Arabidopsis thaliana: one gene and its partners. The protein of the gene in region 1 interacts with the protein of each later gene in a pairwise test. Each region holds a gene or a part of one and is shown on either strand. Other genes may lie near its edges.

Region 1 (2,881 bases):
TTATTTTTGTACGAAAAGGTTTTTGAAGCTTATTAAGATGGATGAAAAGATTCAAGTTATTGGATATATTGCTTGTTGTTGGTTGATGATAGAACGAATGTGTTTATGTGTGTATATATAGAAAGATCAATGAAGGAGTTAAAACCTCTTTGAAAAAATCATTGAAACTTGTGGTCTTGAAGCGTGGGACAGACTAGAACAGAGCTCACATGGTTCTGTCTTTACAATCTAGAAAAGAAGCATTAATGAAATTTGTCTTGATGACATAATTAATTGAGTTTGGGCCAATAAACGAAAAACTAACTCCATATGCACAAGGGACTGTTTCCTCAATGTTTTTAAGATAAGACATGCTATTGTCAATAAGAAGGCCCAGCAAGTTTCTTTCCTTCATGTTCTGTGATGATCATATTACCTCATGTCTGTGGTGCAATTTAATAAGAACTTAAAATTGGGACCTGAAGTAGCTCAACAATAGAACAACAAGTCTTTGTCTAGGGTTAAGTTGTTCTTTTTTGATATCCTCAAATAGGAGGACCACACATGACAGTTACAAGTAAAGGATTGAATATCTCCTTTCTTCTCTGCATTTATTATAAAAATATGGAGAAAACAGAATCATGTGAAACGTAACTCTGTTTGTGTATGTTCCATGTTGGTTTGAAGTCCATCAATCTATTTATACATCTAAAGATAGAACTAACTATTCAATCCGAAGCTTGAATCTGAGCATCTAGGTTTTTCTCTAAAGCTTCAAATTTAGATTTTCCAAACACAAGAAATGTTTTTGTTCAGAGGTCTTTTGGGTGCAAAGAAAATTATCAGATTTTCTATAGAGGCTACAAGCAAAAGGCCAGTTTCAGCATCAAGGGGGTTTCTTGCGGTGTACGTTGGCGAAGACCAGGTCTAAAAGAAAAGATATTTGGTGCCAGTCTTATATTTAAACCAGCCTTCATTTCAAGCTCTTCACCGTAATTCCAAGGAAGAGCTTGGATTCGATCATCCAATGGGTGGCTAGCTTAAAAATCCATTGTCCTGAAGATACCTTCATCGATCTGACTTCTCAGCTTCAATGAAGATGTTCCGCAAGAAGGAATAACTAACAGTAGTTAGTGAGAGATAGATTATTCAATGTAAATACTTCATCTTGCTGTCATAGATATAATGTGTAAATACATTCCTTATCACCAAGAGGATTTGCTTAAAATAATGAAGATTCTTGATCTTGACCTTAAGGCTAACATCATAGTGATTTTCTCACCGATGTTTACACTTAGGTACTTAAGTTGCTTCAAAGACAAGCAAGGCATGGAGGATCTCATTACTGTAATACTGTTGCAAGAAAACTAAAGGGGTATATATTTTGATGATGTTTTCTTTATTCTTTTACTTGATTTTCGTGTGTGGTTCTATTTGTGTATATCATAAAAAAGGAACAGCTTAAAGAGTGATGGAGACATGTTGTTCTGTTGTTGAGAAACTTCAGGTCCCCACTTTTAAGTTGTTATTAAATCCATTTAGACCACAGAGAATCAAAAATAGGATCATCACAGAACATGGAGAAGAGAAACTTGCTGGTCTTTTATCTAAAAACATTGAGAAAACAGTCCCTTGTGAATTGCATATGGATTTTGTTTTTAGTTTAATGTCCCACAATCAATTAATTATCTCATCAAGACAAACTGCATTAATGCATCTTTTCCAAATGGTAGAGACAGAACCATGTTCTCTGTTCTAGTCTGTCCAACACTTCAAGACCACAAGTTTCAATGATTTTTTCAGAGAGGTTTCAACTCATTAGTAGTTGATCTTTCTATATATACACTCATAAACCCATTCTTTCAATCATCAACAAACAACAAGCAATCCAATAACTTGAATCTTTTCATACATCTTCAGAAGATTTTAAAGAATTTAATATTCGAAACAAAAACAATAGATATGGCTTTTGTGAGAAGTCTATTGGGAGCAAAGAAGATTCTAAGCCGCTCCACCACAGCAGCCTCGGCGGCACCAAAAGGGTTTCTTGCAGTGTACGTAGGTGAGAGCCAAAAGAAGAGATATCTGGTGCCAATCTCATATTTAAACCAGCCTTCATTTCAAGCTCTTCTCAGTAAATCCGAGGAAGAGTTTGGATTCGATCATCCAATGGGTGGCTTAACGATCCCCTGTCCTGAAGATACATTCATCAATGTGACTTCTCGGTTCCAACGATGATGAGCCAACATTTTTCTTCCTAGTTAGAAATAGACTTATTCATTGTAAATACATGAGCTTTTTTCTCTTTCTTCTTGAAAGAGTTGTTCTAAAAGTTTAGAGAGTAAATGCCATCTTTATGCAACAGAAACGATTCATGTCAATACATTTTTGATCTTTCATTGAAAAATGAAAAGATAACACCAATGACCAAACCAATTGGAACTACTCTAATGATAGTTTCATGTTGATTAAGTACAATTAAGTGGAACATATAACATCCGGATCCGTGGCGCAATGGTAGCGCGTCTGACTCCAGATCAGAAGGTTGCGTGTTCGATTCACGTCGGGTTCAATTCCCCGAACTTTACTCCGGATATTCTTTTTAAAAAAATCCAGACTTTGCCCTTCGCTTTCATTCGATAAACTAAACACAACTGTTTAGGGTTTGAAGAAAGTAAAAGTGTGTTTGCGATCCGCCATGGATTCAAAGAAAGAGAAAACGGGAGGGATCATAGGAATCTTCTTAACCCAAAATGCTGCTTCCTTGGCACGAAGCTTCTACGCCATGTTGTGTATTTTGATCTGAAGAGAAACAGTATAAGAGAAACTAAGTTTAAAGGAATTGTAGGAAACTCAAGGGATTTGGATTTGGTCCACTCAATGATTTAGATGTTTTCCCAAA
Region 2 (5,773 bases), on another chromosome or scaffold:
TTTATGAAGAGTAGAATAGAGAGATACACATTAGCATATGTAATGTAATAGTTTAAGTGACATTTACATTTGATGTAAAACAGATTTATTTAATATATGGAACTTTGATTCAGAGTTTCTTTTGAAATTTGAGTTATATATATAGAGAGAGACTATTAATCAGCATACAAACAATATATAATTTTTAACAGAAACAATTAAAGATAAAAACTATATACACGTCGGTTTACAAATGACTCAAAAGAATAAGATTTACACGACAGAACTTAACCGATGTTAAGATTACTAAAACCGACGCAAACGTTTCGACGTATAAGTAAGCGTCATTTCCTAAAGTTAAGTTAATTATATTAACGTCATGCAATGTTACGACGGTTTTTAAACCGACGCTATTATGTTAAAGTCAGTTTGAAAATGACGTTAAAGTCAATAATGACCGACGTCAAATACCGTTTCTCTTGTAGCGATCATAATTTGGAAAGTGTTGATCATATAACAACATATACTTGGATATTTTTTTTAAAAAAAGTTAGTGTCAAAACAAACATGGATCATAATTTGGAAAGTGTTGACTTAAGATGTTACCTTTTTTTTTGTGCAAAAAGATGTTACCTATACAGTATAAATACTGAACAAGTTTGATTGAAATAGTTATCAACATATACTTGGATATTTTCCAGGATTAAAAAAAAAAAAAGTTTAGACGAATTATGGGTTCTCTTGAGACATGCTTACTTTTCTTTGTAATGGTTATGTTTATGAGTGCAATTATGTCTCGAGCCTCGACGAGTGTAGTGATTTATAATGATCTTGGAGGTGGTTTGCCACTACGGCACCACTGCAAATCAAGAGAGGATGATCTTGGATACCAGAGTTTAGCACCAGGTAGATCGTGGTCGTTTGGATTTACACCGGATATTTTTGGCCGGACTTTGTTTTACTGTCGTTTTAGTTGGGGAGCTGAGAGTCATATATTTGATATCTACAAACAGAGTAGAGACAAAGAATTTCAAGAGTTTGGTTGCAAAAAATGCGAATGGAAAATACGGAAAAATGGACCTTGCAAGTTTTATAAGAAGACCGGCATGTTTGATCATTGCTATTCTTGGGATTAATATCCTTATTTTATAAAACATGTCGTAACTATCAATCTATGTCTGTCTACTTCTTCTTCTACCTTTTTTTTTCTTTTTTGTATGAGGTAATTGTGTCTTAATATGATATTTTATGGTTTGACCTACAATTCGTTTTCTTTTTTTTTTACTTGTTAATGACACAATTATAGTCAAATAATTTTAGAGCGAAGTAACAAAACATTATAAGAATATAATGTGAACTACAATGAGCTTTTCTTTTATGCTTAACGTTCATTTTTTAACAAAAAAAAAGAATTATAAATAAATAGAGAACAAGTGTTGATCGAAAGAACAACTATGTAAATTATACATTTGTGCTTAACTAAACGCATATCGATTAGAGTCCCATTTCATGACCCCGAAACTCAATGAGTCAAACGTAGTGCACAATCTAGTGTAATTTAAAACCAGAAAAAAAAAAAAACTAGTATAATTCGACATAACCAAATGGCATAGTTAAACGCATGTTGGTGAATGGAGGAAACTAAACCCGCGTGGGAAGGCTTTTCTCGAGTAGTGGAAGTGAAATATTATCTTAAAACATATACTTTCAATGACATAAATTGGTGAAGATTTACTCCCATAAGTGAAATGCATTACATCTAGAAACTTATCTCTTTTATATTTATTTCCGATTTAGCAAAAGAAGTAAGTAGAAAGTCTATTGAGTCAAACCCAAATTTTAAAAAAAATAATGCAAAGAACTTGCATATAAATATTTTACATTATAATTTGTATTAAATTTTGATTTAGTAAACATATATAACAAAATTTTCATCTTTCTTTTAATAATATAGTTTTTAGTTTGTTAGATTTTTTTTTTTTAATTTGGGCAACACAACAGTTGTGTAATAGTATAGGCAAAGAAAATGGTCGGACAGCTAAGGGAAGATCGCTCTCTCCTCATCAGACAAAAAATTACAAGCGAGAATTTCTTTGTTCCTTTACGACCGGACAAGACACGTCCGTCATCGTCTTCTACTACTTTCTATCTTACGCCTCTCCCCTTATCCTACGCCAAAACATCTTATCCTGCGCATCATCCCTTCCATTAAGACCTAGGGTTTTCTCTCTCTCCCATCATTCTCTTCTCCCGATCTCATTTCCATTACCCAATCCCGCTCCTTTTCTCTGATTTTGAATCGAACCCTTAATACCCAGAAATCTCACGGTTCCGAGGAGTGGGTTTTTGGGGGTTAGGGTTTTCGAGAGATGTTGAATGTCAGGTTCATTGATGAATCTGTTTTCTCTCTGCTTCAAGCCATTCGGGCACGTCTGTGATAATTCCGAAGCTGGATCGGGTGGTGGTGGTGGCGTTTCTGGTGGAACCGGCGGTGAAGGCAAAGACGGATTGCTTTGGTTCCGTGATCTCGGTAAATATTGCGGCGGAGATTTCTCCATGGCTGTGATTCAAGCCAATCAGGTTCTTGAAGATCAGAGCCAGGTCGAATCCGGTAATTTTGGGACTTTTGTTGGTGTTTACGATGGTCATGGTGGTCCTGAAGCTGCTCGTTATGTCTGTGATCATCTCTTTAACCATTTTCGAGGTTCGTAATCCGATTCTTCATTGACACAGTGATTCGTCATTTTGACATTCGAGCTTGAGTGTTTTGAATTGGTTTTTTGGGGAAATACATATTTTAGATGAATCCGTTGACTTAATTCTGAACTTTTTGTTCAAATCTTGGTGATGAAGATGGTGATTGGTCAACAAAGTTAGGTACTTTGACTTTTTAATCTCGTTGGGGTATAATTAGGTTCCCATTAAGCTAAATGCAAGTTTAGAGCTACAGTCTTTGCATTTAAAAACTGTGTTTATTGACTTCAGAAATAGTAAAACTTTAGATATGAGTATGCTCTTTGATATATAGGAGTATTTGTAATGCAGTTTGATATATAGGAGGACTCTTTGCATTTCGCATTCCTGGTTCTTTGAGATTGTTCTTTGCCATTTAGATAAGGGTCCCTGGCTTTTGCATTGATGGTGGAGTGTCATGAATATTACCAGGCTTAAGCAAACTAGGAGTGCACTGTAATTATGAAAGGAGGTTGAGCCTCTCTTATGTTTTGATTGCTCAGGCTTTATGGTTATGCAGAAATATCAGCGGAAACACAAGGAGTTGTGACGAGAGAGACGATAGAAAGAGCCTTTCATGCGACAGAAGAAGGATTCGCTTCCATTGTGTCAGAGCTGTGGCAAGAAATACCAAATTTGGCAACTGTTGGCACTTGTTGTTTGGTTGGAGTGATATATCAAAATACTCTTTTTGTGGCAAGTCTTGGAGATTCACGGGTTGTTCTTGGAAAGAAAGGCAACTGTGGCGGACTCTCTGCTATTCAGCTGTCGACTGAACACAATGCTAACAATGAAGATATTCGTTGGGAACTCAAGGACTTACATCCTGATGACCCGCAGATCGTTGTGTTCAGGCATGGAGTTTGGAGAGTTAAGGGCATCATTCAGGTAGTTTCTCATTCTCCTGCCATCCCTTGTGATGTTAATTTTCCAAAAGAAAAATGTAAAATTAGTCACTTAGACATAACTAGGTTCCTTGTTGTGTTAACTCTCTTTGGTTTCGCAAACTTTGACATATCTACCTTATGCTTGTTTCGGAAGAGCTAAATCATTTTTCTTCTCTCTTTTTTAGTCTTTGAGCGGTTTGGCCTTTCTTATAAGCTATAGAAAAGTTCATTAGAGGTCTGAGAAGTACAAATCTTTAAAAAGTTTTGAGAATTAGCAAGTAATGAGGTAGTGCATAAGCAGAATTAGCAAGTAATGGGTTTCTGATGAACTCCATACATATGTACTGAACAAGCTAAATATATGTCTTACGCTCTTTGTGATGTCTAGTTACCAATAATTAATCATCTCTACCATGCAGCTCTTAAGACTTTCTGATGATTCCCTGTATTTACTGTTCAACTTTGATTCGCTGTTTATATAGGTATCGAGGTCTATAGGAGACATGTACATGAAACGGCCCGAATTTAACAAGGAGCCAATCAGTCAAAAGTTCAGAATTGCAGAGCCAATGAAAAGACCCTTGATGTCTGCAACACCAACAATACTCTCTCATCCTCTGCACCCTAATGATTCGTTTCTCATTTTTGCATCTGATGGTCTTTGGGAGCATTTGACTAACGAAAAAGCAGTTGAGATTGTTCATAACCATCCCCGTGCTGTAAGTTTCTACTTTGATTTCTCTCTTAGATGGCGTTTTTGGTCTAGATAAGTTTTAGATTGCAGTTTTAAGCGAGTCAAGTCACAAGAATCCTCATTATTACAAATTCGTTAAATATATAAATGATTTCTTGCATTGTGTGTTTCTCTCTATGTTCAGGGAAGCGCAAAGAGACTGATAAAGGCGGCTCTTCACGAGGCAGCGAGGAAACGTGAGATGAGATATTCAGATCTAAGGAAGATTGACAAGAAAGTGAGACGACATTTTCATGATGACATCACGGTTATAGTGGTGTTCTTGAACCATGACCTCATATCGAGAGGCCACATCAACTCAACCCAAGACACAACAGTCTCTATACGGAGTGCTCTTGAACACTGAGAATCCCAAACATTTTACAACAATGTTTCTTCTTACTTGATTATATGACTTTTGCCTAGAATGAATAAAAAAAAGGCAACATATGGAAAAAACCAAAAATGAAAAAAACAACATCATTATCGTACGTAATGAGTTCTCTCTTGTATTAAGCGGCTATGTTTGACTTTTGGTGTTTCTCTTCAAAGTTCTGATGAGTTCCAAGTCTTTTACTTCTTGCCGTTCGTCAAAAGTATGTAATGTAACATAGCCGTGTAACCATACTATTCTCGAATGTAACATCAAGTCTCTAATCAAAATTGTTTTGGTAACTTATAATTATTCTTCATTCCCGAACAGTGGTTATTCTTCAACATTTCTAGGTTTAACTTTATTGATCAAAAAAGATTTTAAGATGCTCTTGGATTACTGTTTCGATATTTATGTGCCACAGTTGTCAACTCTTCATACTATCTCAAATTTGCGGTTTCGGTGAAATACTTAATTTTCGTACGGATTTGATTTGGAGAACAAAGTCGTGGAGCAACGTTTGGCTTCAACATTTTACTTATGCAAGACTTAAATGTTAGTTCTGATTAAATGGATTCATGGACCTTTTCTAAAAAATATCAAATACAATTCCATAAATCTATAAAGTTCTTGTTAATACTAAAACCTTTGAGAGTACTAATGAAAGAAAAATCAGATTAAGCTTTCTAGGCTGCATTATGCATCAAAAAGAAGTTGAATGTCAATCAACAACTCAGAGCCCAGTGCATATTCATCATCTTTTCCTTCTTAGACCCTCAACAATTATTCTAGCCAGATAAAAAAATTGAAACAGATACAAAAAATTATAAGGATCCTCAGAGTAAAAATGCTTATAGCTTTTCATCAATAAAAAATCAGGTCTCAAAGATTTCATGCCATCATAGGATCCTTCAATAAGCTTTTTTAAAAAAGAAACGATAACTGATTAGGATATAGCACGAGCTTATTCGCTATGCCTGGTTAAACATAGACGAAGCGACTCAACGCCCCTGCAATAATCTATCGCCTCACGAATAAAATCGATGAAAGAATCATCCCGTAGATATT
Region 3 (3,946 bases), 5.3 Mb from region 1:
TTTACCAAATTATGCGTCAAGTCACACCAATTGATGAGGTTGGCCTTATCGAACTAGTGGAACCGTCATATGCGAAACCAAATATAAGAAATGAATGAAAGACCTTTCAACAAAATTAATAAGCAAGTAGAAGTAAATCCAATATCAATATAACAATTGGTTAAACCTAAATTATATGCATCCAATACGAAAATTCTTTTTTTGGTATCTTTTAATCCGTTTATTATATTTGTGGAGCCTAAGTTGCGGATCCACTTGTATTCCTTATTTGAATCATTGTTATCATTTCTCATTGTTTGTGACTCGTGAGCTAGAAGAAACAAAAACAAAAGGATAACGTAATTTTGATATTTAAAGTAAACCACTATAAATCATTGTGTGTGTGTTTTTTCTTGTTTTAAAAGATCGAATTAGGGAGCCTAACATGTTTTTGTCTCAAGAGATTATTATCATTAAAAAAAACAAGTGGAAGTGGAAGTTGTGTAACCCACTTGTTGAATTCTTAACTTCGAAGCACAACAAAAAGATAGACGAAAAACGAAAACTCGATCTAACTTCGACATATGCATTAGATAACATATAGAAATTTAAACAATCTCGTTGATGAAATTGGTCTATCAACACACGACAGTGGTTCTCTCTACAGTAGCATCAAATCGGTGGATCCTTATGAACAGAAAAAACGAGGAGGGACAGAGGAAGGCCAATGAGGGGTCATGCAAAATGGAACTTAGCAAAAGTACCAAAAAGATCCATCCTCTTTGAAAATTCATTTCAGCCCCATAATTATCCATGACATGAATTTCGATCTGAATCTCACAACAAGTAAGAGATCAGCTTTTGATAACATTAAAGAAAAAGGTAAAAAAAAGAAAGACGAGAGACTGAGAAAAGGGCAAAGACCTGTAGGGGTTAAGACAGCTAAGAGTGTTCCTCAGTCGCCCCACAAATGTCTTCTCTCCTCTCTCTTCAGTCTTTCTCAGCTCTCAAATCTTTAAATGGTTCCAAGTTCAATGCTCCCAAAACCCACGCCCACACATGCATCCTATGACCTTTCCTTTTCTATCCATTTTCTTCCCACAAATTACCACTTTGCAAACAAAAGCCAAAAACTCATTTACAAGATGAGTTAATAAAGACACTAACACACAACCAATGTGAAAACAGACGTTTACATGAGATATTGTTACCTCTAAGAAGTCATTAATCATATAATGAGAACATTCTTGCTTCCTAAGTTTTTACAAGATTATTAACCTCTAAGAAAGGAGAGACACTTTTAACGCAATAATAACTACATGATGTTATAAATATAGGAGAGAGTAGAAAAGAATATGACAGCCCTACTAAGACAGAGAATCATCATCGAACAGTAAAGAGGAGAATCTCTGAATATCCACTTTAAACTACTGCCCTCTTGTCTTAACTCTCAGAACCATTTAATTTTTCAGTTATTTTGACCCATACCCTTTTTGGCCTCTTTCCCTGCTTTCCAACACCTTCACACTTACTCTAGGGCTTCCACGGCTATATATATATGGTCCCTTCCTTAAACTTGTATCTCATAATTCACAACCAGCACTGCTACTACTAGTTTATCATTATTCCATCAATTTATTCTATATAGAGTTCTTCTCTGTTTATATTACGATATTGCTCGAAGATTACATACCTGAGAAAGATGGTTAAACCCTGTTGGAGAATAGGTGCCGGTATGGAGAGAAGTAAGATCAATCCCACAAAGGTTGATGGTTTGACATGGTACAAAGATCTTGGTCTTCACACCTTTGGAGAGTTTTCCATGGCAATGATCCAAGCCAACAGTGTGATGGAGGATCAGTGCCAGATCGAATCAGGGCCGCTTACATTCAACAATCCGACAGTTCAAGGCACATTTGTTGGAGTTTACGATGGCCATGGAGGTCCAGAGGCTTCCAGATTCATTGCAGACAACATCTTCCCCAAGTTAAAGAGTAAGACACCGACTTTTTTTATTTCCTTTATTGTTGAATCTGCCAGGCACACTAACACTGGTCTCACATGAACAGAGTTTGCGTCCGAGGGTAGGGAGATTTCAGAGCAGGTGATCAGCAAAGCATTTGCCGAGACAGACAAAGATTTTCTCAAGACAGTGACGAAGCAATGGCCTACGAACCCACAGATGGCATCAGTGGGGTCATGTTGCTTGGCAGGAGTGATATGCAACGGATTGGTGTATATTGCAAACACGGGAGATTCCAGAGCTGTGTTGGGCAGATCTGAGAGAGGTGGAGTGAGAGCTGTTCAGTTATCTGTAGAGCACAATGCCAATCTTGAGTCTGCGAGGCAAGAGCTATGGTCATTGCATCCTAATGACCCCACCATTCTTGTGATGAAGCACCGCTTGTGGCGTGTGAAAGGCGTTATCCAGGTAAACATTCATACATGATAACGCATCTGATAACCTGCACAGAGTTTTGCTTCATCAGTTTCTATGAAATACAAAAGCTTAAGAAAATCATATATTGAAGCCTATCTTGTGTAAGGATGTAAAACTGACTAGCAAATGTGTTATGACCTTTAACCAGGTCACAAGATCCATAGGTGATGCATACCTCAAAAGAGCAGAGTTCAACAGAGAACCTTTGCTGCCCAAATTCAGACTACCAGAACATTTCACTAAGCCAATCCTTAGTGCGGATCCATCAGTCACCATTACGCGGCTTAGCCCACAAGATGAGTTTATAATTCTTGCTTCAGATGGGCTTTGGGAGCATCTTAGCAACCAGGAAGCTGTTGATATTGTGCATAATTCCCCTCGACAAGTAAGTTCAATGCCTAACCCATATACAAATACGTTACATACTAGCACAATGCACACCAAGAACTATTCGTTAATACTAATACCTTCACAATCACAGGGAATAGCAAGGAGACTACTTAAAGCTGCATTGAAGGAAGCAGCAAAGAAAAGAGAGATGAGATACTCAGACCTAACAGAGATCCATCCTGGTGTAAGAAGGCATTTCCACGACGATATAACCGTTATTGTGGTCTATCTCAACCCCCACCCGGTCAAAACCAATTCTTGGGCTTCACCTCTGTCAATTAGAGGGGGATACCCGATGCATTCAACATCATGAACAGATCTTACGGCAAAAACACTTCCTGTGTCAAGGGCAATAAATTGGAGCCAGGGTCAAGAAAAGAACTAGTAGTATAGCTAGAAACAATATTAAGTTATGAGATCTTTGATATGTTCTCCACAAGAAAACATGAATTCTCATGTACCCCTGTATGCAAAATTATACACGAGGGTACTTGCATGCAATATCATCAATGTCAACGCTGGTAAAATTCGAAAGCGTTGCAACATATTGGAGTTTAGGCACAAAACAGTAGATAGCCAAGAAATGTGTTGAAACTTAACATTACATTCCCTTTATAAAAGTTTTCTGGCGCTTCATTCAAAATTAACAGAAAGCAAGTATCAACAAAAGTTTATCTAAAATCTATTACAGAAACAAAGAAACTGTGTAGCATCAGAAGCCAGCAAAAACGCAGTCCCACGAACAGAGAATTTAGAATCTGAGGCTCTCTTTCCTTCAACTGCCATAGAGACCAGAGATATGGAAACCAACAAGTACATCTATAGTTCTAATGATGTCTTACATGACAAAGAAATTCTGAAGTAGCGGCTTGAGAGGTCATATGAAATTAAGTAACCTAAGAACGACACATGTTTATGGGATCCATTTTGCATGCAATATTCGCAATCAAGCACAGAACACCAGTAGACCAGCTAAATTTCGTAACCAAGACTAAGAAAAACTAGCAAAATAGGCACAACTCAAAAGTAATCAACACTTCTAATTTCTAACTAGTTCAAAACAGTAAAAAAATGTCTCCCTTACTTAAATATTTGCTGCATGCAGTACAAATTTTCAATTGCTGGTGCTTGTGCTTG

Evidence for each region.
Region 2: the proteins of SAUR20 (region 1) and AT3G17090 interact in binary tests that used the Arabidopsis thaliana proteins (3 or more experiments, as listed by UniProt).
Region 3: the proteins of SAUR20 (region 1) and AT5G02760 interact in binary tests that used the Arabidopsis thaliana proteins (3 or more experiments, as listed by UniProt).

Annotation. Positions count from the first base shown.
Region 1 is NC_003076.8:5,965,641-5,968,521, reverse strand, and holds SAUR20 (SAUR-like auxin-responsive protein family), read left to right. Parts: upstream 1-1,844; 5' UTR 1,845-1,941; coding exon 1,942-2,217; 3' UTR 2,218-2,339; downstream 2,340-2,881. UniProt on the Arabidopsis thaliana protein: Functions as a positive effector of cell expansion through modulation of auxin transport.
Region 2 is NC_003074.8:5,824,629-5,830,401, forward strand, and holds AT3G17090 (Protein phosphatase 2C family protein), read left to right. Parts: upstream 1-1,957; 5' UTR 1,958-2,355; coding exon 2,356-2,683; intron 2,684-3,232; coding exon 3,233-3,600; intron 3,601-4,081; coding exon 4,082-4,318; coding exon of another isoform or gene 4,319-4,322; intron 4,323-4,477; coding exon 4,478-4,699; 3' UTR 4,700-5,272; downstream 5,273-5,773. Other genes in the region: AT3G17080 (Plant self-incompatibility protein S1 family), read left to right, coding at 711-1,115. UniProt on the Arabidopsis thaliana protein: Dephosphorylates and represses plasma membrane H(+)-ATPases (PM H(+)-ATPases, e.g. AHA1 and AHA2), thus influencing negatively plant growth and fitness. Promotes the apical hook maintenance of etiolated seedlings.
Region 3 is NC_003076.8:623,696-627,641, forward strand, and holds AT5G02760 (Protein phosphatase 2C family protein), read left to right. Parts: upstream 1-1,558; 5' UTR 1,559-1,681; coding exon 1,682-1,973; intron 1,974-2,048; coding exon 2,049-2,410; intron 2,411-2,567; coding exon 2,568-2,804; intron 2,805-2,900; coding exon 2,901-3,122; 3' UTR 3,123-3,429; downstream 3,430-3,946. UniProt on the Arabidopsis thaliana protein: Dephosphorylates and represses plasma membrane H(+)-ATPases (PM H(+)-ATPases, e.g. AHA1 and AHA2), thus influencing negatively plant growth and fitness. Promotes the apical hook maintenance of etiolated seedlings.